Linked DNA regions of Coturnix japonica. The protein of the gene in region 2 interacts with the protein of the main gene of each other region in a pairwise test. Links are inferred from orthologs where the notes say so. Each region holds a gene or a part of one and is shown on either strand. Other genes may lie near its edges.

Evidence for each region.
Region 1: the proteins of HSPD1 (region 2) and LZTS2 interact in binary tests that used the Homo sapiens proteins (3 or more experiments, as listed by UniProt). The two-hybrid records come from large-scale screens. The link is inferred for Coturnix japonica from reciprocal best matches to the Homo sapiens genes HSPD1 and LZTS2.
Region 3: the proteins of HSPD1 (region 2) and TMCC2 interact in a two-hybrid assay, tested with the Homo sapiens proteins (2 studies listed by BioGRID). The two-hybrid records come from large-scale screens. The link is inferred for Coturnix japonica from reciprocal best matches to the Homo sapiens genes HSPD1 and TMCC2.
Region 4: the proteins of HSPD1 (region 2) and SAMD3 interact in binary tests that used the Homo sapiens proteins (3 or more experiments, as listed by UniProt). The two-hybrid records come from large-scale screens. The link is inferred for Coturnix japonica from reciprocal best matches to the Homo sapiens genes HSPD1 and SAMD3.

Annotation. Positions count from the first base shown.
Region 1 is NC_029521.1:20,198,742-20,204,790, reverse strand, and holds the start of LZTS2 (leucine zipper putative tumor suppressor 2), read left to right. Parts: upstream 1-2,249; 5' UTR 2,250-2,469; intron 2,470-2,558; exon of another isoform or gene 2,559-2,651; intron 2,652-3,206; 5' UTR 3,207-3,245; coding exon 3,246-3,677; intron 3,678-4,067; coding exon 4,068-4,637; intron 4,638-4,837; coding exon 4,838-5,107; intron 5,108-5,197; coding exon 5,198-5,857; 3' UTR 5,858-6,049. Other genes in the region: TWNK (twinkle protein, mitochondrial), read left to right, coding at 1-34, 279-386, 726-867, 1,107-1,367. UniProt on the Homo sapiens protein: Negative regulator of katanin-mediated microtubule severing and release from the centrosome. Required for central spindle formation and the completion of cytokinesis.
Region 2 is NC_029522.1:5,844-11,688, reverse strand, and holds the start of HSPD1 (60 kDa heat shock protein, mitochondrial), read right to left. Parts: upstream 3,587-5,845; 5' UTR 3,451-3,586; intron 3,064-3,450; 5' UTR 3,062-3,063; coding exon 2,888-3,061; intron 627-2,887; coding exon 374-626; intron 204-373; coding exon 121-203; intron 1-120. Other genes in the region: HSPE1 (10 kDa heat shock protein, mitochondrial), read left to right, coding at 4,089-4,091, 5,738-5,845. UniProt on the Homo sapiens protein: Chaperonin implicated in mitochondrial protein import and macromolecular assembly. Together with Hsp10, facilitates the correct folding of imported proteins.
Region 3 is NC_029541.1:2,357,793-2,363,968, reverse strand, and holds the start of TMCC2 (transmembrane and coiled-coil domains protein 2), read right to left. Parts: upstream 3,801-6,176; 5' UTR 3,605-3,800; coding exon 3,443-3,604; intron 1-3,442.
Region 4 is NC_029518.1:52,441,563-52,447,555, forward strand, and holds the start of SAMD3 (sterile alpha motif domain-containing protein 3), read left to right. Parts: upstream 1-2,193; 5' UTR 2,194-2,263; coding exon 2,264-2,399; intron 2,400-3,086; coding exon 3,087-3,273; intron 3,274-5,993.

The DNA of each region.
Region 1 (6,049 bases), on a different chromosome or scaffold from region 2:
ACTTCATGACCTTCCATGGACAACAGAACATCAAGTATGGCACCATCCCTTTGTCCTTTAATGGAGTTCTCCTTCCGTGTGCTGTGGCACAGAGGGGTAGATGTGGGGCTGGGCACACTGTGGTGGTTGGGGTGGCAAAGGGTGGCTCACTGGGCTGCACAGTGGCATCCAACTGGTGGAGGGGGGGTGGAGGAAAGGAAGGAGGGAGATCTTGGGTGGTGCTGCCACCTCCCCCTGTGCCTGGCTGGGTGTCCCCAATGCTGGTGTTCCCCTTGCAGGACAGTGCTTGACACCATGCAGCACGCCGTCTACATGTATGACATCACCCACGTGGTGGTGGACAACCTGCAGTTCATGATGGGCCACGAGCAGCTCTCTGCAGACAGGTAATGCTTCTCTGGGAGTAGTGATACCACCTGGCTGTCCTGTCTGGTGTAGGAGCCCACATTAGAATCATTTGGATTGGAAAACACCTCAAAGATCATTGAGTCCAAACCCAGGCCATTCTCACTGTGCTCACTAAACCATGTCCCTTGGTGCCACATCTTTAACACCTGCAGGAAGGCTGATGTCACCACCAGCCCATTCCAGTCCCTCACTGCTCTCTGAGAAGAATGATCCTAATATCCAACCTGTCCCATTTTGGGGCAGTCACCCCCACTGAGCGCTGACACACATGGGGTTGTGGCACTGTCCCCATTTGCCCCCTTGCTGTTCCCCTGCAGGTTGGCAGCACAGGACTTCATCGTCGGCGCCTTCCGCAAGTTTGCCACCGACAACACGTGCCACATCACGCTGGTCATCCACCCGCGCAAGGAGGACGACGAGAAGGAGCTGCAGACCGCCTCCATCTTCGGCTCTGCCAAGGTGGCTCCTCCTGGGCCTCAGGCGGGGACAGGGTGGGGACATTGGCACGTCGCCGTGACCCAAACTGTGCTGCAGTGGGGCTGGGTGTCCCCTGCCATCTGGTGGCACGCGGCTGATTGATGCTCATCAGCTGTGGGTGGGATGTGGCATGAGTTGCTCCGTGGGGTAGCAGGGAGGACGCTGGGTGTGGGGGTGCCCCGTGCCCTGCAGCACCCCCTGGAGATGTTCTCCTCCCCCAGGCCAGCCAGGAGGCCGACAACGTCCTCATCCTGCAGGACCGCAAGCTCACGACGGGTCCCGGGAAGCGCTACCTGCAGGTGTCCAAGAACCGCTTTGATGGCGATGTAGGCGTCTTCCCGCTGGAATTCAACAAGGCCTCGCTCACCTTCTCCTCCTACGGCAAAAGCAAGGCCAAGCTGAAGAAGGTGAAGGAGGAGAAGGCGCCTTCACCCAAGAAGGGTCCCAATGGAGGAGGTGTGGGTGGCTCTGGCAAGCCCTGAGTGTGGCAGGGACAACCTTGGTACTCGGGCACACCAGGTGCCGTGCGGCTGCGCTCCTCCTGAGCAGAGCACGATGCTGGGAGATGGGAGAGGAGTGGATGTGCAGGCTTTGGGGTCTCTGTACCCTGAGCAGGTCAATATAGGGTTGCTAAGTGGAGGCTGATGGCCCAGGTTTACCTCCCGCACGGTGTGGTGCTAGTGCAGCTCTGCCGGCTCTGAGCCCGGCCCCTCTGGCCACATGTACCACCAGCAGCAGTAGCAGCAATGCCTCAGGGACACAGCCCTGGGCGCCTCGGAGCCTCTCATGGCAAAACACTGTGTCTGAGCCAGTCCTCCCCAGCACAGGGGAGCCCGCCGTGGGCTTTTGGCCCATCCCTCTGTTTTCTTTACACTTTTATTAAAGCAGAGCTGTTCAAGCTGTTTGTCCTTCGCTGCATGAGCGTCCCCGTGCTCCCATCCCCCATCCCTCCAACTTTGGGTCCCATTCAGCCCCGTGTCCATGCTGTGCGTGGGGCAGGACGGCACAGCGGGGCCCCATGGCCCCACGCACACACACACCTCCCGCCCCAGCGCTGACCCAGCACCGGGCACCTCCCCGCCACCGCGCCCCACGGCTCCCACGCGTGGGGCCGGGAGGAGGCATTGGCCGCCGCGCCGGGAGCCGGGCCCATGGCGGAGGACGGGGATGTGGAGGTGAGCGGGACGCAGCCCCCCCCGTGCTGCCTGCGGGGCCGTGGTGCGGGCTGAGGCCCTGCCGCCCCCTGAGGGCCCTTCGCTGCCGTCGCTGCCCCGCGGCCCGGCCGTAGGGCAACCCCCTGCCGCCTCCCATCCGCCGCGGGGCCGGGGGCCGGGGGCGGCGGGGCGGGCGGGGCCTGGCGCGGGCCGGGCCGGCGGAGAGCGGCGGTGCGGAGCGGAGCGTGAGCGAGGGCGGCCGGGCCTGGGCCGGAACGGGCCGGTGGGACCCGCGGGGACACAGTGGGGCGCTACGGAGAGGAGGGACGGGGGGGGGCGGCCCTGACCCCGCTCTCTCTTCCTTTTCCCGGCTCAGGGGGCGGCGGAGTCGGGCCGGGACCCGCCGGACGGATGGGCCGCGGCCGGCCAGGTGAGAAGCGGGGCGACCCGCAACGGGAGAGGGGGCCCGGCGTCACCCCGGGGTGATGCTGGGGGCGGTGGAAGCGGGGGGCGGCCCCGGGGCGGTGCCAGCGCGGCGGGCGGAGCGCGGCGGCCCGAGCGCATCATGGGGCGGCCCGGCCCGGGTGGGTCCGGCTCGGCCCGGGGGGACGCGTCGGTGTGGAGCTCCAGGGCGGGGGGAGGGGGCGGAGTGGGGACCGTGAGCTGTGGGAGAGAGGGGTGTAGGGACGGGATTGGGGAGCGGGGTGATGTTGGTGCCGGGGTTGGGGGGGTTGGGGAGGAGGATGCTTCAGGATGAGGTGTTTGGGGCGTCTCTCTGAGGCTGGAGCTGAGGTATGGCAGTGTAGGCAGCGCTGTGGGGCAGAGCAGGGGTGCAGGACCGGGAGCAGTGGGGCAGAGAAGGCACCGTGACTGCTACGCAGTGGGGACCCTGCTGAGTGCATGGGGCTGCCCCTGTGGGGCTCTTCCTTTGGGCCCTGCACGGGAGCACTGGTGCTGCGTGAGCCCCCTGCATGCCCCGTGCCTCCCCCTGCTCCGGCTAATCCCAGCTTTATGCTGTTCTGCTCGACGCCTGCTCATGCCCGGCATATCTCTTGCAGCCATCCCACATCTGCCTGCGCCATTATGGGGGTCCTATATTCATTGGTGTCCTATGGGATGAGTGAGTGAGTTTATTGCTTAAGGCCTCACGTTGCCTTTCTTTTACAGGCTGCCTGCGCCCCCCTGCCCGCTGGGGGCCCCCCTGCCATGGCCATTGTGCAGACACTGCCAGTTTCCATCGAGGCCACGCCTGAGGCTGCTGCCCAGCTCCGCACTGCCACCCGCTCCCCCCTGCCCACCCACGGCACCATGGGCAGTGTGGGCAGCCTGATTGCCAGCCGACCATGCCACGATCGCTCCTGCCAGCCTGCTGGTGCTGGTGGTTCCTTCCGTGTGCAGGATACGCTGCTGCGAGCCAGCCCCCCGGATCCCCTGCTCCACACTTTGCCCCCCAAGAAGCCGTGCTCAGCCACTGCCCATGCCTACACCAATGAAGTTTTTCATGGGGAGTGGCTGGAGGCAGCCTCTCCCGTCAGCCCCTGCAGCGACTCAGACGAGGCACGGGATGAACAAGCCCCAAGTGGTGGCATCCGGGGGCCGCCCCCCAAGCTTGTCCCTGTCTCTGGCAAGCTAGAAGAGGTAAGGTGGAAGCAGTGCTGGGGGATCTGCTCAGCCCTGTGCTGCACTGGGGCTGCTGGGCTTGGGGAGACGTGCTGGTGCATGCATAGAGAGAGCACATGGTCCATGTCGCTGGGGGTGGTGGTGATCTCTGTGCTCCTGCTGCCCTCTTCCTCATGTCAGGAGTGGCCATGTGTGTGTGGGAGCCTGTCTGAAACTGCTGCATGGAGCAGAGGGCACCTAGTGGTCATCTTCTATAGAGCTGTGACACTCTGAGGTGTTGGGTGGGAGCAGAATTGGTGGGGTTACCAAGTCCTCCCTGGTGCTCTGGCAGCATCCCCAGCATCTGCCAGGCCACCTCTGGAGTGTACCTGGTCCCCAGATCCCACTCTCTCCTCTTTTGCCTTGCAGAATGTGGAGAAGACCCTGATCCGCCCTATGGCATTCAAACCGGTGGTACCCAAAGTCAGGGCTGCTCCGGGCCCGGCCAGCCAAGGGGTACGTCCAGGGGCTGCAGCATTATCAGAGAGCCAGGTGAGCCTCACCCACCTGCTGGGGACCACCGGGGCCGACAAGCCTGGCTCACTGAGCTGCCGCACCAGCAGCCACTCAGGCACGCTCTCAGACTCGGGACGCAACTCTCTGTCCAGCCTGCCCACCTACAGCACAGGCTGCAGCCAACATACTGAGCCTGGCAACCTCACAGCCACCCCTCACAGCCACCCTGAGCCCCCAGGTGGCTACCGCCCACCAGCCGGCCCCTCCAACTCGGACAGTGGGCGCTCATCCTCCAGCAAAAGCACGGGCTCGCTGAGTGGCCGGGGCCGGCCCTCCTCCGAGAGTGGCTCCTGCGGGCGCTCGCCGCTGCCTGGTGAGGAGGTTCTGCTGGTGCGTGAACTGGAGGACAAGCTGCGGGAGAGGGAGGCCGAGCTGCAGCAGCTGCGGGACAGCCTGGATGAGAATGAGGTGGCCATCTGCCAGGTAAGAACCATATAAGGGTAAGGAGAACCAGGGGAGCTCTCAGGGCTGGGGGTGCCCATATAGTCCTATTGTGTAGATTTGGGTTATGCATGCAGTGATGTGTCTGGGGAACCCCATGGAGATTGTAGATGCTGACTTGGGGAGACATGGAGGTGGTGTGGGATGTGGGATGTCCCATCTCAGCGTGTGCCTGTGCCCAGGTGTATGAAGAGAAGCAGCGTCGCTGTGAGCAGGAGCTGGAGGGTTTGCGGCAGCGCTGTGCGGCCCAGGTGCGACAGGCGGCCCAGCAGGCGCAGCGTGGGCAGCAGGTCCTGCAGCTCCAGGTGCTGCAGCTGCAGCAGGAGAAGAAGCAACTGCAGGAGGACTTTGCTCAGCTGCTGCAGGAGCGGGAGCTGCTGGAGCGTCGCTGCGCATCCTTCCAGCGGGAGCACACTGAGCTGGGGCCACGGCTGGAGGAGACCAAGTGGGAGGTGAGCTATGCTGGGAACAACCGTGGTGTCCCTGTCACTCGGGGGCCAGGGTGGGGCCGTGGCCGGTGCCTGAGCATCTGCTGTCCACAGGTGTGCCAGAAGTCGGGTGAGATCTCCCTGCTGAAGCAGCAGCTGAAGGAGTCGCAGGCAGAACTGGCGCAGCGCGGTACGGAACTGCTGGTGCTGCGAGCGCAGCTGCGCGAGGCGCGGGCCGAGCTGCAGGCAGGTGAGCAGCAGGCACGGGGGCTGCAGGAGGCCGCCCGGCTGAAGGCACTGGAGCTGGAGGTGTGCGCCAATGAACTGCAGCGACGCAAGAGCGAGGCTGACCTGTTCCGTGCCAAAGCGGGCCGTCTGGAGCAGGAGGTGGCCGGGCTGCGGGATGCCGCCCGAGGATGCTGCCCTCAGCCCAGCGAGGGCTGCCCCGAGTCCGGTGAGGAGCTGCGGGGCATGGCGGGGCTGCAGCGGCAGCTGGAGAGGCTGCGGGCAGAGGTGGCCCTGGAGCGGCAGCGCGGGCAGGAGCAGCGGGACGCCTTCGAGCAGGAGCGCAGCACGTGGCAGGGAGAGAAGGAGAAGGTGATCCAGTACCAGAAGCAGCTGCAGCTGAACTACGTGCAGATGTACCGCCGCAACCGGCGCCTGGAGCAGCGGCTGCAACACCTCCGGCTGCAGGGAGAGGAACCCCCGACAGAACCCTGCGAGACCCCCGGCCCCGATCTGCCCTTTGAGGAGATCACGGCCACTGAGATCTGAGACACTGCCTGCCACAGCCCCTGGGATGTTGGGAGCTGTGGGGCTGAGAGCGGGTGTTCCCGCTTACCACTGCTATGCACTGGGAGGGGGCATTGGGGACCTCAGGTGCTGCCCCCTCCCCAGCATCGCGGTGTAGGTTGAGGTTGTGTTGGCTGCACCATGGCAGGGGGTGCCCGTGAGCTGTGGAGCCGA
Region 2 (5,845 bases):
ACATTCCAAACCCCAACACATAAAGACAAATACTCAGCTGTTCTGTATCCAAACCTGAGTTCAGAAAACTTTCTGAAGTCAAATTATGTGTTTGTTGTTTTTTTGTTCGTTTGTTTTTACCTGTGCAATTTCTTCTGGAGTTGTAACTGGTTTAGACAGCTTCTTCAGTTCAGCTGTGATGGCATCAACTGCGAGCATCACCCCTAGAGACGAGTGGAATACTTGTCAGTGAACAACACAAGGCATATAGCACAGAAAAAACCCATTTGATTCTACAACAAAAGGCAACTCATTGAGGAAACCAGACAGATTTAGCATGTGCAAAGGGAAAAAGCTAGCAATTAAATATTGAAAACATAGGTGAAAGAATTACCCCTCCTGATTTCCACTGGATTAGCTCCTTTGCTGATCTTCTCAAAGCCTTCTTTGGCAATAGCCCGTGCAAGTACCGTTGCAGTAGTAGTACCATCTCCCGCCTCTTCATTTGTATTATTGGCAACATCTTGAACTAATTTGGCTCCGATATTTTTGTATTTGTCCTTTAAGTCGATTGCCTTTGCCACTGTCACGCCATCCTTTGTCACTTTGGGACTCCCCCAGCTTTGCTCAATAATGACTGTTCTTCCCTAGGGTGACAAACAAGAAACATTAAATGAAAGGCAGATAACAGATAACACAGATAACCCTTAAATCACAGTAAGAAGCCTATGATTGAAACACAGCCATAGGAAGCTCGATTCTTTGTGCATTTTGAACAGAGAAAAGTTACAGATCTCATTGACGATGACTATGAGGAACAGAAAACCCTCAGTGCAATTGCATTCATGTGCCACACTGACTTCTCTAGAATTGGTGGCACTTGCTTTAACTAAAGCTGAACTATCCTAATTAAAGTACAACATTGATAAGGAAAATTAAGGACCGTACAAGGAACACAGGGCAGATATATCCTCTCACACAGGTCCCCAGCCTGAATAGCTGCCCCAATCAATCACACTCCAGACTTTCAGCTGGAGACAGCAGAAGCAACCACCTCCCTAGCACTGCTGCCCTGAATCTCTTCAGCTACGGTGACAGCTGGAATACTCGGAGGTGGGGAAGGGAGACCAAACACCCACCTCACTGCTCTCACTGCCAGCACAAGTCCCCTCAGGTGGCCCATCAGGCCCAGCTGGGTGCTCACGCTGCTGTGGCTGTGTGCCAGCGTGGCTTCAGCTCTGAGCAGAGCCTGGCTTACAAGCCCAGCTATCCAAGGACTCGGATACAGCGTGCTACCACTGTGGTGCACCATGTTCCCTGCCCACTCACGTCTGCCTCAGTGTTACAACTATGCAACGCTGCCGTGCAAGAGGCTACGTGGCTCCTGAAGTACAATTAGCCCTAGGAACTGCGTAAAAGAAATGTAAAGCTTCAGTTACCAGCTCTGTGCACGTGAGAGAGCCGGTACATGGCTCATTCTGTGCTGCAGAACAATTACATCAAGTTAATATTTAACACAAGTTTTTAGTGCTATTTCATTCAACCTACAATGTTACTAAATCCAAAGAAGTCCTTCCTCCCCTCCTTGGTTTGCTCCATTTCATTCCTGGTTTTGAACAGGCCTTATTCCAAATGGGTTTGGTAGTTAGGAGTAACTAAGGAAAACCTACTTACATCCCATCGCATTGAACAGCTTACACTCAACATGAGGATGTGATGATTGTGAATAGAGGAAACACACTTGCATTATGAGTGGCCCTGCATATCAAGGACTACAGTGACAAAGCAATGGGCCTGTTGGCAGCAATGTCAAAAGATTGTGCAAAACTGGAAATCATGCTCCTTTAAATATGAATGAGTGCAGAAGGGAAGTTTCCTCATAAGTCTGGTATTTCTTCAACATGCTGGAGGCTGTATCAGGAGGTGTTACAGAACCATCAATCTCTACAAATACCTGGAGACCAGCAGATGCACTGAGTGCAAATGAACAAGGATTCCATGAGGTTGCACTACGTTGCATCAGGATGTGCCCTTTAACCAGCACATTAAAGCCAAGCTCAGGCATTCACAATGCAGCCTAAGCCCAAACCAAGCGTTAAATCAGCTGATGACACTGCAGCCTCTTATTGAGAGCTGTTCTTATGGAAAGCAGCCAGAGATTGCTGACATCGCTGCTCCTCAACCTTAACTGTGTCCAGTTAATGACACTTGGAGCATGTGAAGCTCCAAAGGTGTGCATAGGAGAAATAATTTAATAGGTACCAAGCAGCCTTGAGAAGATTAACAGATAACAGGTCTGAAATCATAGAGAAATCACTATCTGAACCTGATTTGGAACAAACATTGCTACAGATGTGAAGTAAAAAGGCATCTGCTCCTTTAGCAGGAGCCTCATTTTGTGTTGTATGACTGTGCGGAACACAGCAGCTCATTTTCTTGCAGAGGTTCCCAAACTGCACTGCACCCTACAAGCAATAGATGCCCCTGCCATGGATTTTCCATCAAGGTTAAAGCATTTCAGAGCTGGCTGCAAGCTCAGCATTACGCCTTGAGTGTTTCCACTTTGCTGCTGGTAGGAGATGAAAGGATACAAAGCTGTAATTTGGCCCGATAATAAATAAGCGCTAATGTAACTGTTCCCTTTGGAAGGAGTTAATTATCTACCACGCCGTTAGGGGCAGTAACTCGAGCCAACACGCGGTCGCCCCCTTGCCGTCCTTAGTGCCTAAAGGAAGGCAGGCGCCCCTCACAGGGAGCAGCGGCCCGTCCTCCTTTGTGCCCACGGGATCGATGTGAACATGGCCACGCAGCTCTACCCACGTGCAAGTAACGGGACTCCACGCACACTATCGTCGCCTATCGCCACGTTTTAAGGCACGCCCGCAATAGCAGCCCGTCCCGCCGTTACCTTGGGCCCCATGGTGACGGCTACGGCATCTGCCAGCAGATCCACCCCCTGCAGCATCAGGGCCCGCGCGTCCGCCCCGAACTTCACATCCTTGGCGTAGGCCCGAGTCAGGTGCGGGGCGAGCGCTCGGGATACCGGCCTGATCTGGCGGAGTACGGCGGGCAAACGGAGCATGTCTGGGGGGTAAAACCCGATGTTAAAGCCATACAGATTTAAAGCAGCACATGGTCCGCCCGCAGGCCGCGCTCGGAGCCACATGCCCACCCGTCCCCACAGCAGGACGCGCCGCAAGGTCAGAGCCCGCCGCCCCCTGCCGGCCACAATGCAGCCGGCCGCAACACAACGGGGCTGTGAGGAGCCATAGCAGGGCTGCACACATATACACACACACACACACACACACACACCGGACCAGGCGTGCAATGGGAGCAAGGCCGCCCAAGTCAGCACGCGGCGCTCCCTCAGCACCACCACATCGCTGTGAGGAGCGGCCCGCCCCAGCACAGCACGGCTCAGCACAGCTCCGCACGGCACAGCACAGCTCAGCTCGGCTCCCCACTGACCTGCGTTGTGCCGGCGGCGCGTCCCGTAGCGCTGTGTGTGCGTTCTCAGCTCTCCGCTCCGCACGGCGCTCAGGGCGGCGCGCACTCACACACTCACACACTCCCTCACATGGCCCCGCCCCCGCCGGGCACACACTCATGCGGCCGAGCCCCGCAACCTGCATAGCGTCTGGGTCCGCCCATAGAGGAAAAAAGGATCTAGGCGTACGGCGCGCTCTGCGCATGTGCAGGAGGCTCCGAGCATGAATCACCCATGTTCCGGGGCTCGCCAATTCCAGAACCTTCTGGAATGCCCATGCTCGCCCCGGGTCAGAGGGCGGCTGACTTCACTTCCGGGTGGCAGCACCACCCCGGTCCCGGCCCGGCCCCGAACCGAACCGCCACAGCACCGAGACACACAGCGACACACCGGGACACACAGCGACACACCGGGACACACAGCGACACACCGGGACACACACCGGGACACACACCGACACCGGGACGGCGGATAACGGAGCCGCGGCACCGGGCGGCACGGCTGGGGGCGGGGCGGGGCCAGGAGCCAGGGTCGGCGGCTGCGCATGCGCACGGGGTGACCTTCCTCACGTGTGCTTGGAGCGGCGCGGTCACTCGGAGCGGAGCGGGACGGAGCCGCCATGGTGAGTGAGTGTGTGAGTGAGTGTGTGAGTGAGTGTATGTGTGTGTGTGTGCATGTGCCCCCACAGCCGGCACCGCGATTGACCACACGCTCGGCCGCGGCCCCGTGTTCCCGGCCCTGCGCTCCTGCGTGGGGCTGTGCCCGCTGCTGCGCCCCGCCCGTCCGCAGGGCAGTAGGCCGCACTATGGGGGTGTCGGCAGCTTGGTGCTGCTGGAGGGTAATTGATGGTGATTGATGGTGATTGATGCGGCCGGTGGGGCTGTGGGGGGATGGAGGCAGGCAGGGATAGAGCGGGTGAGCCCTTCGTTGCAGTCCTGCCTTAGCGCCCTATGGACGCTCGGTTAGACCGGCCCGGAGCTGGGAGTGGGTTTGCAAGGTCACCGAGTCCTTGGGGGCTGCGTTGGGGGCCGCAGGAGCGGGAGGGAAAACGGAGCTGCTGGTGCTGTGCTCTGTAAGCTGCTCCCATCCAGGGCTTCTCTGCAGGAGCCCTAAGGGCACAGCTGTCCTTGTACCTGCGTCAGTGTATCGTTATTAAGATCCTTATAAAATTAGGAAACGTAAAGTGGCCAGCGCTGGAAAGGACCACGATGATCATCTCGTTGGTGAGAGCAGGCAGAAGGACACAGTGTTACCTGAAGCTTAGGCACAAAGTGGCAGCATTCTGCGTTCTGATTGCAGTTGAACAGAACGTTTGGTTTCAGGGAATCTAAAGAGAAAGAGATCAGCACTGGTATTTTCTTAGAATGAACATCATCCCGGTTCACAGTCATTTCCATGTCTTGCATCATTCCAGTAATAGCAGTTTAGCTGGGGATGCATCTCTCACACGTTGCCTACAGCTTCGTTTCCCCCTAGTTTTAAAGCTCCAGTGCTGATCAGTGTCAGTGGAGGGTGCCCAGCTGCCAGGCTGCTTCTAGCCATTTCAGTGAGCCCAGGGTACCTGCCTTGCATCACACTGTCTCCATGTGGCTTGGCAAGGCTCCATAGCTTTCCTCCTAAACCACAGCAAATTCCTTTTCCTGCCCCTGCTTAGCAGGGTGCTGTGCTTGCCTTCATCTCCTGTGTGGGAGCTGGAGTGCTGCTTCCATTCCAACTAACAGCAGTCTTCATTTGGACTTCAGACTTGATTAATTCTCTTACATCACCTGAAATGCCATGCCTTTAAACTGCCCAAAAAAGACAGGCACCAGCTACAGGCCTAGACTGACAGTTTGTTACTATAAAATACTCTGCTACGGTGAATGAAAACGCAGCTGCCCTCAGTCTTGACTGAGTTCTGTCTTTGTGATCACCGAGCTGTTCTCAGTGAGCCGCTGTTCTCAGTGAGCCGTACTAAGTAACGGTTTAGGATTAGCCACATGTGGCTCCTGCTCCACCTGCTGGAGGCTCATTCCCTCAGCTGGAGCGAGGAGCCTTAAGGGCACAGAGTGCCCAGTGTGAGCAGCTTGGGAGTGAGCTGCTTCTGAAGAGCTTGAAGCAGTCATAGCACAGCTCTGCAATGCAATCACAGGTGGTATAATTCGCTTCTATGGAAAAGAAGTGCTCAACTTTCTTCTTGTTCTCTGACACCCACTTAGTTGTGGGTTTTCTTGCTTTAGATGCGCTTTTGTTCATCTGTTTTTCCTTTAACGTTGTGCCCCTTCACAGGCAGGAAAAGCATTTAGGAAGTTCCTTCCCCTGTTTGATCGCGTTCTGGTTGAACGATGCGCAGCAGAGACTGTAACCAAAGGAGGCATCATGATTCCAGAAAAAGCT
Region 3 (6,176 bases), on a different chromosome or scaffold from region 2:
TCAATTATTATTACTATTTCTATTAATAATGTATACCCTTTGCATGCCCAGAGGCTCCAGCCAGTATTCTGCAGCCCATTGGAGGCACTGCATAGAGAGAGTGGAAAACTACCCCTCTGCATCCCACTGCATCCCATTGGATCCCACTGCATCCCATCCCATTGCATCCCATTGCATCCCTCCCATTGCATCCCATTGCATCCCTCCCATTGCATCCCATTGCATCCCATCCCATTGCATCCCATTTTATCCCGTCCCATCCCACTGCATCCCATTGGATCCCACTGCATCCCATCCCATAGCATCCCATTGCATCCCATCCCATTGCATCCCATCCCATTGCATCCCATTGCATCCCATTGCATCCCACTGCATCCCATTGCATCCCACTGCATCCCATTGCATGGCTGCTCCTATCCACCCCATTCCCATTGCATCCCATTGCATCCCATTGCATCCCATTGCATCCCATTGCATCCCATCCCATCCCATCCCATCCCATCCCATCCCATCCCATCCCATCCCATCCCATCCCATCCTAAAACACCCAGCACCTCAGGGCACCAAGGGAGGACAGAACCCTTCGACCACAAATATATAGATGTTCTTAAATGGCAAATAAAGCACTTCCCCCCCCCCACGCTTCTCCTCTTGGGGACAGGAGGAGAGAACAAACATGTGACAAGCGTTAGTCATGTCGCTCTGTGCACTACCAAAGTGCTGTAGTGATATGCAGCTCTGCCTGCAAGCAAATCTGAACCACTGGCTGTGGCTACCAGGTGCTGCTGCAGCTGGGGGTCTCCAGACCCCATATCTATAGGGCATGGAGAGGAGAATCACTGGATGACAGCATGGAGAACGTCAGCCTATGGCTGTTACCTCTGCATTGCTGTTATCAACTGCAGGGACACTGAAAGCACGCTGGGGTTCTTGCTGCAGCATCTGAACATCGCCTGCATGGGAAGATGCTCTCCTTTATGGGGGTTAGGGGCTTAGCATACAGCCCCCATGGGACATGGGGAGCTAATGGGGTCCTTGCCAGCACTCTGGGAGCTGTGGGTAAGTGATGCCCTGGGGAGGTGATGGATGGAGCTGCTCTGGTCACCACACTGCTGCTGGAGCTGCCTGACAGCAGCTCTGCTCCGGCAGCCACAGGGGATCTGTCTCACCTTGGCGGTGTCCTTTTAAGACCAAAATATGCTTGGAAAATTGTTCGTGTGATGGAGTAAATAGAAATGTACCTGCGGGTTGAGAACAGGGGCTGGTGTCCTTTATGGAGAGCTGTCCTCTGCATCCTGCCTGCGAGGCTCACAGCTCAGCCCACCACAATCCCACCCCACTGCTCATGGGGCTGCATAACAGGACCCCCCCTTTCCCCCAATGCTTTTCATCTCCTCAGCTCTAAGAAGCCCCTGAATGGCTGCTCCCCATTGCATGGGGTTGGGTCAGGCCCAAAGAAGGGGAAAGGCTGAGGCCAGTGCTATGGGGTCACCGCTGCTCTCAGCTTTCAGGTTCAGAGGAAGGAAGAGCTGGGGCAGAGAAGATCTAGATGGTGAAACTGGAGATGGAAACGATGCCAGGCTTCAGCTTTCAGCCTGCTGACAGATTGGACCATTGAGGAAAACAGAGAGAAACACACCCAGATCTGAAATGCTTGAGGATACAGGAGTGAGAGCTGAGCACTAAGTGTCCCTATGCAGGGCCTGGTGAGCCCAGAGCTGCAGCCAGGAGGCCTGAGTGCTCCCTGCTGCAGTGTTTGTGTGGCTCCAGCCATTCTGCTGCAGAGCAGAAATCTCCACCACCCAATATATTTTTAAGCAAAACTGTGTGTCATGCATCTGCTCTGCTCCTTGCCAGGACTCCTTTTTTCCCCCCCTCTTTTTCCCTAATGGAGCCTTTGGTCTTAGCACAGGAGTTAGGGCTGGGGAAAGGGAAGCTGGTGGGGCTATGCTGGGGTTTGGGGATGGATTCAATGCAACGCAGCCCTTTGTTTCCACGTTCCCAGCTCAAATCTGTCCTAGCACACAGTTTACACCTGAGGCTCCTTCACTGCCTGCTGGGAGCTGAGTGTGGGGCTGCAGCTCTTAAGGGTGGGCAGTAGGACTTGCAGATAGGACTGCTTCCTAATGATGGCAGCAGTAGGAACTGGTGGTGTTGGTGGCAGGGCCAGCACTGAGCTCCCTATGGGAGCTGCGGGCAGCACTAGGATGCATTTTTTTTCCTGCACGAAGCACATTTGAGGATTGACTCCATAAAGGCAATTAATTATCGGGCTACATCAAGAGGTAAACCTGCATTTGGGCACCGTGCTCACATCAATAAAATCAATGGCAGCCTGGTCACTGCCGTGAGCTGGATGTGGCTGAAGATGGGCCGAGCTCCAGCTTAACACTAGATGTGCATCCAAGGGATGTGGGTGGATTCTTGGGGCTGTTTGGGCAGTGTGGGACCACTTCATCCCATGAGCATCATCACTGCAGGGATATGCTCATCCCAGTGGCATCTCCATCCCAAGAGCATCCCCAAACTGAGAGCATCACCACTGTGGGACCATCCTCAACCCTGGGAGCATCATCATCCCAAGAGCACCCTCATCCCAAAAGTATTTTGCCCTCATCCCAAGAGTATTTTCATCCCCAAAGCAAACCCATCATTGGACTGTCCCCATTGTTTGGCCATCTCTACTGTTGTGGCTTGAACCATCCCTTATCATAGGACCATCCCCATCTTAGGACCATCCCCATCATGGGACCAATCCCACTGTGTGTCCATCCCTCCTGTTGGGCCATCCCCCATCATTGGACCATCCCTATTGTGTACCCATCCCCCCCATGGGACCAAGCCCACCATAGGGCCATCCCTCAAGGTGAAACCTGTAGCATCATGGTGATCACATGCTGGTGCTATTGGTACACATCAAGACACACATCCCCCCAACACCCCAACACCCCAATAGTGGGCTCACACCCACACCCCCCCAGCACCCCACATCCCCCCTATAACCCCCATAACCCAATTGTGGGCTCACACCCACATCCCCCCAGCACCCCACACCCCAATGGTGGGCTCACACCCCCAGCACCCCACACCCCACATCCCCCCTATAACCCCCATATCCCCCCTATAACCCCATATCCCCCCTATAACCCCATATCCCCCCTATAACCCCATATCCCCCCTATAACCCCCATACCCCAATTGTGGGCTCACACCCACATCCCCCCAGCACCCCACATCCCCCCTATAACCCAAGACACCCCAATGTTGGGCTCACACCCACATCCCCCCAGCATCCCATAACCCTCACATCCCCCCAGCACCCCACATCCCCCCTATAACCCCCACACCCCAATGTTGTGCTCACATTGCCCTACCTGCCCCTATAACCCAACTCACCCTCCCAATAACCCCAATGGACCCCCCATCTCCCCCCACTCCTCACCTTCAGGTCAGGCGGTTTGGCTCTCGGTGTGGGCCCACCACCACCACCACCCATCTCCGGTACCTCCCCCGCTTTGCCTTCCATAGCAGCAGCCCCTTGTTGTTCCCCCGTTATCCCGTTATCTTCGGGCTGCTGCAGCTCATCCGAACGGCACCGCTTCATTCCGTCTCTCCGGGTCCTTTATGGCCTCGGTGGTTGTGGTGGCGGTCGGTGCCCTGGCGGCCTTTGTGGTGCCCTCGGGATACGAACCGTCGTCCCTCCCGCTCCTGCCCCGCCGTGACCGGGCCGAGCGGCGGCACCGCGCCTCGGCGGCTCCGCACCCACCGGCATCGCCACCACCACAGATCAGCTTCTTGATTGACATCTCAACCAACCAATAGCAGAAAGCAGAAGGAGGGACCGAAAGCTGCGATTGGTGGATGGAGCAGAGGAGCTGTCAAGAGCGAGGTGCTGAGGTAGCACCGCCGGGTTGTTACTAGTGGGACTACATTTCCCAGAGTGCACCGCGTGGTAGGGGGGGTGAACTACAACTCCCAGCATGCCTCGCGCGCAGCGTCCGCTGCCCTCCTCCCCGTTTGCCCCGCGGCGCCGCCATAAAGGTTCCGTGGGACGCACGGCTCCGCTTCGCACAGTCGCTGCCCCATAGGAGGAGGAAAGCGGAGCCGGTTGGGGGTAGGGGAGGAGGGAGGGTGGGGGGTGGGGGGGGTGGGATAAGACTAGGCCAGGCAGCTGTGGTTAGCGTTGTTTCCTCCGAGAGGGGCGGATAGGCCGCAGCCTGGAGGGGCCGGAGCGTTCCGCGTTGTGGGGAGGGGATATAGGAACGGACACGGAGGAGATGGAGGGTGAAGGAGCCCCTTCGTGGCGGGGTGGGTTGAGCCGGGAGCTGTGTCGTTGTTTCGGACATTACAACCGGCACTTAGCGAGGTTACAGCAGAACCTGAGAGAGACCAAGAAGTTCTTCCGCGACGTCAAATATTCCCAAGGGAACCTCTTCGCTTCGGGGGTGGCGAGCGGTGAAGGGACCCACAGCGGGACCGGCGGAACGAGGGATGGAGGTGAGGCCTACGGGGGTAGGGAGGTTGGGAATCTCGTGTGGGGCCTAATGGGGTGTATGGGGCTGAGGTAGGACCTGGGGCCTATGGGGGGGCGCTGAGGGGTATGAATGGGGCCCTATGGGGTGGGGCTGAGGGGTAGCCATGGGGCCTATGGGGGTGTATGGGGTAAGCTGAAAGGGTGATATTCGAACGGAAAAACAAAGTAGAAAAAAGTTAAAGAATGGGGCCTATGGGGGTTAGAGGTAGAATGGGACCTATGGGGCCTACTGGGGGGGCTTGCCGGGGTGATAATGATGAGGGTGGGCCCTGTGGGGGGGCTGGGGGTATTTAATGGGGCCTAAGTGGGGGGGGGGGGGGGGGGGGTTGATAAGGGGGTGGGGGGCGAGAGGGGCCCCCCTGGGAAAGGGGGGTTTAAGGGAAAAAAAAATGGGCTATGGGTGTATTTGCGGGGCGCTTGCAGGGAGTAGAATGGGCCCGTGCTGGGCTGTATGAGGGCTACGCTGAGGGGTAGAATGGGGCCCTGTGGGGGTGTATGGGGGGGCTGAGGGTTAGAAATGGGGGTGTAGGGGGGGCTGAGGGGTAAATGGGGCCTATGGGGGTAAATGGGGCCTATGGGGGGTAAATGGGGCCTATGGGGGTGTAGAGGGGGCTGAGGGGAAGAATGGGGCCTGATGGGGTGGGCTGTGTGCAGAGTGGGACCAGTTGGTAAGGTGGGATGTGGGGGTTGGAGGGGATAGGTTGTATTTTGCTGTTATGGGGCTGTTATGGCAGGGTGTGGGGTGTGTGTGTGTGTATGGGAATCTGGGCTGATGATGAGGGTGATTTGGGAGACTGTGTTGTTTTCTATGGCTCCCCTTGGTGTGAGGTGGGGATTGGCTTCTTGCAGGTGGTAGCAATAGGTCCAGAAGAGGTGGTGGCCTTATGTTGTGCCAGGGAAGGGTCTCTTGGATACTGTCAGAAATCTCCACTCTAAAAGAGTGGTCAGGCATTGGCACAGGCTGCCCAGGGAAGTGGAAGGTTGAGAACTGTGGGTTTGTGGCAATGAGGGATATGGATCTGCACAGATGGGTCAGAGTTGCGTTTGATGATCTTAGGTGCCTTTTCCAACCTTTATAACCCCATGGTTTGGGAAGGCTTGTGGGCTGCAGCAGGTAGGTGAGCTGTGAGGGCTGCAAGGTGAGCTGTAGCCTATGTCGGGTTGGAAGCTGTGGGGTGTGGGCCAGCCAGGTGAGGTACTATGAGCTGCTGGCTTTCAGAGTGTCCTATGTGCCATGCCATTCATCTATTAGTGTTGACAAACATTTATGCAGTTTGGAGACCTCCTGCCTTGTGCAGAACTCTGTATTCCATCAGACTGTCTCGTGAGAAGACTTCAGCGTGACATTAAATATATATAAAGATCTTCTTTATGCATTTCCAAACAGTTCATGAGTCATCTCTGTTGGCTACTTGTCCATGCTTGTCTTATGCTTGCCGTTCCTATTTGAAAGTGTTGTTGAGCTCCTCTGTTGCTCTGTGTCCAAAAAGAAAGTGTTCCATAGGAACTTTTAGGATAGGAGTAGCTTGCTAAAGATCTAGCTGACGTGTGTTTGTTTATATATCTTTCAGTGACTTTAAGGAAGGAGGAACTAGCTCGTTTGGCTCTTTCTGTTGCTCTCAGTGCTCTTTGAATGGAGCAT
Region 4 (5,993 bases), on a different chromosome or scaffold from region 2:
ATTTCCATGTACTGTATCCAAGATTAGACATTCTGCTTTCCAGATTGTAGCTTGGATTTAATTATTTTAAATAGTTGTATTAGTTTGGGAGTAAGCAGAGGGAAAATAATACATCTCTGTAATGCACACAAAGATAAAAATGAATTAAGATAGAATTCAAAAATACACACAGGTAACACTTGAGTTTTATTTATGATATGCATCAATTCCTAATCTTCACACTTGTAATGCTGAGATCTGACTCTGTGCCAAATTTGTCACATATTTGTGACATAAAGGAGTGCATACATCACATTCTTCACTCTGGTCCTAAAATGCACTAAAACCTTTGTTGTGACCTCACTGACAGCCGTGTAGAGGTCTGTTAAAGATTAATGTATCTGTAGTCTGCAGTGCCATAGATTATTTCTCACAAGTGAATGCTGATAGAAGACTAGAGTGCTATTTTCCCAGCTCCCCTATCTGGAATATTTGCAAGGAAGTGAGCAAGCACTTTTGAGACATATTTTGAAGTTTGTGTGTAGTGACCCTTAATATTATGTTCTTTAAATAAACTTCTAAACTGTCATCACTTTATTATCCCTAAAGTGCACAACCCACATTTCCATGTGCAAATGGACATTGTGCTGTAGAGTTGGTTGCACAGTGATAAAAGTGTATATGGCTTTTCATGGCTGTCATTTGCTTGATGCTTTTTAAATGTTAGTATCTCCATGTCTGCTTTAGCAATAACTATTCTGGGATGCAGACCTTCTACTGGATTGAAGTAATGACCTTTCCACCATTTTAATGTATCTCTCTACTTTTCTACTGGTTATTAAGGATAGTATAGTTCTGCTTTGCATTAAGTTTTACCTTTCAAGTTTTTTGGTTTGATTTGGTTTTTTTTTTGAGACTTTTTGAGTCTCATTCTTTGCAATGAAGTAAAAAGTGTGACAAGAAGGTGTGATTTTTAATTTACACCAGAGTTCTCAGCAAATAATGACTTCTCACACCCTGTTATTGCTGCTTAGCCTGGGGGAGGAGTTGTATGGCTACTGTTGTCATATCATATTAAATCCACTTGTGTAATTCAGCAAGACATTCCCCTTAAACTTAACCCTTTTAAGCTGCTGAAGGGTACCGGCATAATCTGAGTGTGTCTGTCTTGGTGGATCTCTGCAGTTGAGGGGAAATGGTGGTATGCTACTTAGTTATTTATTTACTTTTTTCTTGGTAGTTCCATAGAATAGGTACTGCTGAGGTTTGCATGGGTATACCAACGTTGCTCTGACAGCAGAGCAAGGCTGTGTACAGAATCATAGAATCCTTTGAGTTGGAAGGCACCTCTGAGGGCCACCTTGTCCAACTCTGATGCAGAGCACAGGGGCACCGCAGTTAGATCAGACTGCCCAGGGCCTGATCCAGCCTCACATTGAAAGTCTCCAGAAATGGGGTACCAACCACAATACAAGGTAACCTAGGAACTAGTAAGCTAGGTCGTGTTTTGAGCAAGGAAGTACTTAGCTGACAACGTCAGACACTCATGTTCACATCTGAAAAATCTTGCCTGTATGATTTGCTCTAATATTGTCCAGAGTGGATTGCAAAGCACAATTATGGCACATTAGGTGCTCCCTTATGTAGTGGAGCTAAGGCACATTAAGAGTAAAATCATTCTCAGAGAGTTTTCTACTGTCAGAGTTGGCACTCCGGGGATGTACCCGTCCCGCCACGGTGTCACCTCGTTCCGGAGCCTCCTGTTGCCTGAGGAACGCGACCAGAGGCTGCCAGCGGGGACTGTTCCCTCCCCACCCCACCAGATTTAATGTCACTAATTGTCGTTAATTGGCTGTTAAGCGTTTGCCTGACTACCCATTGGTTGTGCAGAAGGGGTTAATGTGCTTGATGTTCTACAAGCATACAAACGACAGACTCTTATCCGATGGTTTTGGTTGTCTTTCCTTTTTTGTGTGTGTCTTTCTTTAAGATGTCAGCCGCGGTGGTGGTGAATTTCACACCTTATTTTTTTTTTCCTCTCTGTATGGAAACCTGGGTGTTAATGGTGATGGAGCAGGTCGTGTTTTATAAGGAATGAGGCTGTCTCTGGGAGCAGAGAGAAAGCGGCGAAAGGAGAGGAGGTGAGGAAAGAGATTTAAGGAAGCTGCCACCCGCGACAGGCATTAGTTGGATTATCCTCACTCTTTCTTTTTTCAGAGCATGTAAACATAAGTGCATTCGCAAAGTACTTTATTCTTTCTATATTTTTTTCCTCTAGTTCTGCATGAAAATAGTCTTCTCTTTTCGCTTCCCAGTGAAACTTAGCTGTGCCAACCTAACGATGGAAAGTTGGTCTGTGGATCAAGTCTGCAACTGGCTGAGACAGAGCAATTTAGCAGAACTAGTTCCTAAGTTTCGTGGTAGGCAATTCTTGTTGTTTCTGAGTTTCTTTTATCTTTTAAAAATGCTTTTAATTGTTTACTTAGCTTGTTTGGGGGCTGGCATGCAAGTAAGCTAAAATAAGTGCAAGTTTGTGATGTGGTCTTTGAGAAGCACAGGGGGAAAGTCTAAGGCTGCTTGTAAAGAGGTGCGCTTTCTCTTGAGAGACAGCTGTCAGTGCTACAAGCATAACAGGTTCTATTTTATACCGCTACAGTTGCATTATTTCAGAGGGTGCATACTCTAAATGTGTTTGTGTATATAAACACTAAAAAAGTACAGGAGAAACTGCAAGGTGAACATGCTCTGTGCTGTGTGCTCCTTGCACTTCTTCATTATGGAAAAACAAAACGAACAATCCAACAATCTGCTGCGGTCAAAGTAAGGTCTGATTTTAAGAATTATAATATTAATTCACTGCTTCTGTGCATTTCAGACATAGCATTCTCTTACTGGAAGGTAAGAGATCACTGGGCACTGACTTGAACTTCTGGCAGTGGAAAGGACAGTACCTAAAAGACATCATTTCTTTAAAGCAGCTGAAGAAACAGAGCACTAATAGAAAGTATCTTTGATTTTGTCCTAAAATACCATCCCATTTCTAGCCATGTAGGATGTTTCTATAGCTTTAAAATTACTTCAAAGTGATTGTAATATCCTTCAATCAGCAGAAGAAGTAAGTGGAGCAGCTCTGTTGGCTCTGAATGATCGTATGGTGCAGCAGCTGGTGAAGAAGATCGGGCACCAAGCATTGCTAATGGACCTGATTAATAACTACAAGCAACAAAAACGTGGGCTGCAATCCTTTGCATGTGTCTGTGAAGCAGGTTTGCCAACGCTTCCTGAGATCAGTGGGTGAGTACATACAGAAAACATCAGTCTGATATGAAATTATTCTTTCTGTAGTACTTCAGATCTGATGTTTACTAGCTAGAGAGCTAGTAAAAACTTCAAAACTTCAGAAATTCCAAAAAGAAAAAAAAAGTCATTACTATAAATGTAAACTCTGAATAATCTCTAACAGTGTGTTAAATGTGAAATATAGACATTACCACATGAGCATCAACATTGCTACCATTACTTTAATCAGTTCTGGCTCTAGAATTCAGTTTTAATTTGCACAAATTGTCATCAAACTCCTGAACTTTCACTTTCGTTGAAACTTTCTGTATTTGCTGTATTAAACCTTTGAGGCTGTTATTTTCAAATGCTCTTTGAACAAGGCCCAGTAAGAATGACTTCATTTAAAGACTCCTGACTGGAACAGTATATAGGAAATGTTGTTTTGAAGTAATGTTAAGTTCTTACCCACGAGAGTGGTGAGGTGCTGGAACAGGCTGCCCAGAGAGGTTGTGGATGCCCCGTCCCTGGATGTGTTCAAGACCAGGTTGGATGGGGCCGTTGGCAGCCTGGTCTAGTATTAGATATGGAAGTTGGTGGCCCTGCCTGTGGCAGAGGGTTGGAGATTCACGATCCTTGAGATCCCTTCCAGCCCAGTCCATTCTGTGACAATGTAATAATTTCACTCTCTCTGTACAAGAAACAAAGATTCATAGATCCACAGCATTCATTATATTGCATTTTGTGTTGCTTAAAGATGTAAGCCTGAATTTCAGTGTTTGCTGTATGAGCATTGTTGCCACATGAAGCTTTCCTGCTAGTGTCAGCTATGGCTGAGTCATCACTGTGACAGTGGTGCCTGAGTCCATGTGAAGATAAACTACCTTGTCTCTCCTGCTGCTGAGATTCCAAGAGCTATCAGCTGTATTTCCCTGACACGCTAATTAAATCAATACTACCCTAGCACTTGAGGGTGCACTACTGCTTGCCCTCTTCTTCATCTTGTCCTCAGTGTATCTTCCTTCTGTACATGAACTGAATTTAGCTCAATTCCTTTCCTTTTAGGGAACAAAACTAAATCTGTTTACAGGATATAGTTCCAAGTGCAGTAAGTGAATGCTTTCTGTGCAGTAGTCATTTCCAGTAGTTTAGACTGGGACAATTAAGAAATAGGATCTTGTGTTCATTACTGGGAAGGTGGGGAACTTCTGAGCCAAGCAGTAGAAACTGTTTACATATGAGAAGCTGATATAGAGACATTACCAAGTAATTGTCAAGATACTTTTGACCTCCAAGTATGATTGAAGGTAGAAGCCACATGTACATTGATGTATAGTGACAATAATGTAAAGATGGTACAAGAGAGGTGGTGATAAGTATCCAAAAGGTTATTTAAAAGAAAGACTCACCCAATAGAGGCTTTCAGTCTGCTAGAAAACACTGAGACAATCTCTACCAAGGAGCAATCTCAAAGAGATGCTGCTTCAGTGGCGGTCAGCCCTTAAATAAAGTCTAGAGAAGGTAGAGTCAGGCTCCACCCCTTCCGGGAGCACAGCTGAATTACCCTCACCTGTGTTCCCACAGCTGACCCGAAACTTGCCTCAGCTGATTAATCAGAGGTTCAGGCTGTGATTACCAATTTCCCATACACCACTGAAGGACAGTATCAGATTTCTCTGATTTTAATTGGATGTCTGGAAACATGCGTGACTTCAAGATGCATTGATTCATGAAAAAGGGAAACTCCTCATACAAATCTGGCCAACAGCGATGTCACTTATAGCAACAGCATCTCATGTGAGTGTAGTTGAGGATGGAACAGTTTACAGAGCATCCTCTAGTTCAGAGCTTCTGAAGAGATGGGTCATAGAAAGAAGTTATGCCTTCCCAAAAGAAAAGTGTCATAGTCTGTGGAAGATCTAGTGTATCAGTGCATATTTACTCTTCCCCTAAGACAAGTTCTAGCAATTTTCAGAGAGGCTTTAGCAGCAGCGCTTACAGTAGCAAAACTGGTAATAACGTCACATTGGTGGCTTCATCCAGAATTTTTTTTATGTGTTTCAGTTAATGACTAGAGAATGACTCAGACTCACATTAGGGTGAATCTGTGTTGATGGGCATCTTGTTGTACATAATGTACTGTTGGTGAAGAATATCTGTTAAACTGTTTCCTGCTTCTGTGTAGCTTTAACTTTGATAAGGCAGAGCCTAATTAATTATGGTGAAAAGAAAGAATAGGCAAACATGCAACACCTAACATCTACCTAACAAAGTCACCAGCTTCTTCTGATCTGTAATGCAAAAAAAAAAAAACAAAACAAAAAAACCCAAAAGCTGACAGCATTCCAATAGCCCCTGTCTTACAGGGTAAAACTGTCAAATATTGCTTCCTATAAGCACAAGAAGAAATAACAGTAAAGTGAGGAGGGGAGAGAGGAGGATGCAAAGGTGAAATGAAGGCAAGTGGTTTGGAGTAGGGATTTCTGGCATGCAGTAATGTGGGTATCAGAAGTTTTTGGAGCAAGTGACTAGCTGAAGTTAGAGCAAATAACCAGGAACAGACAGAGGTGAGATTGGGTAGTGTTCACAGAGGTGTTAGGATGGTTGGAGTAATGTAAAACTAATTCAAAGGTTCAAGATGGGCTCAGCCTTCAAAAGGTGGAAAAAAAAGTTCCAAAGTTCTAGCTGAATATAAACTGCCATTAAATACTGTGTAACTTTCTTTCTCTTCCCCA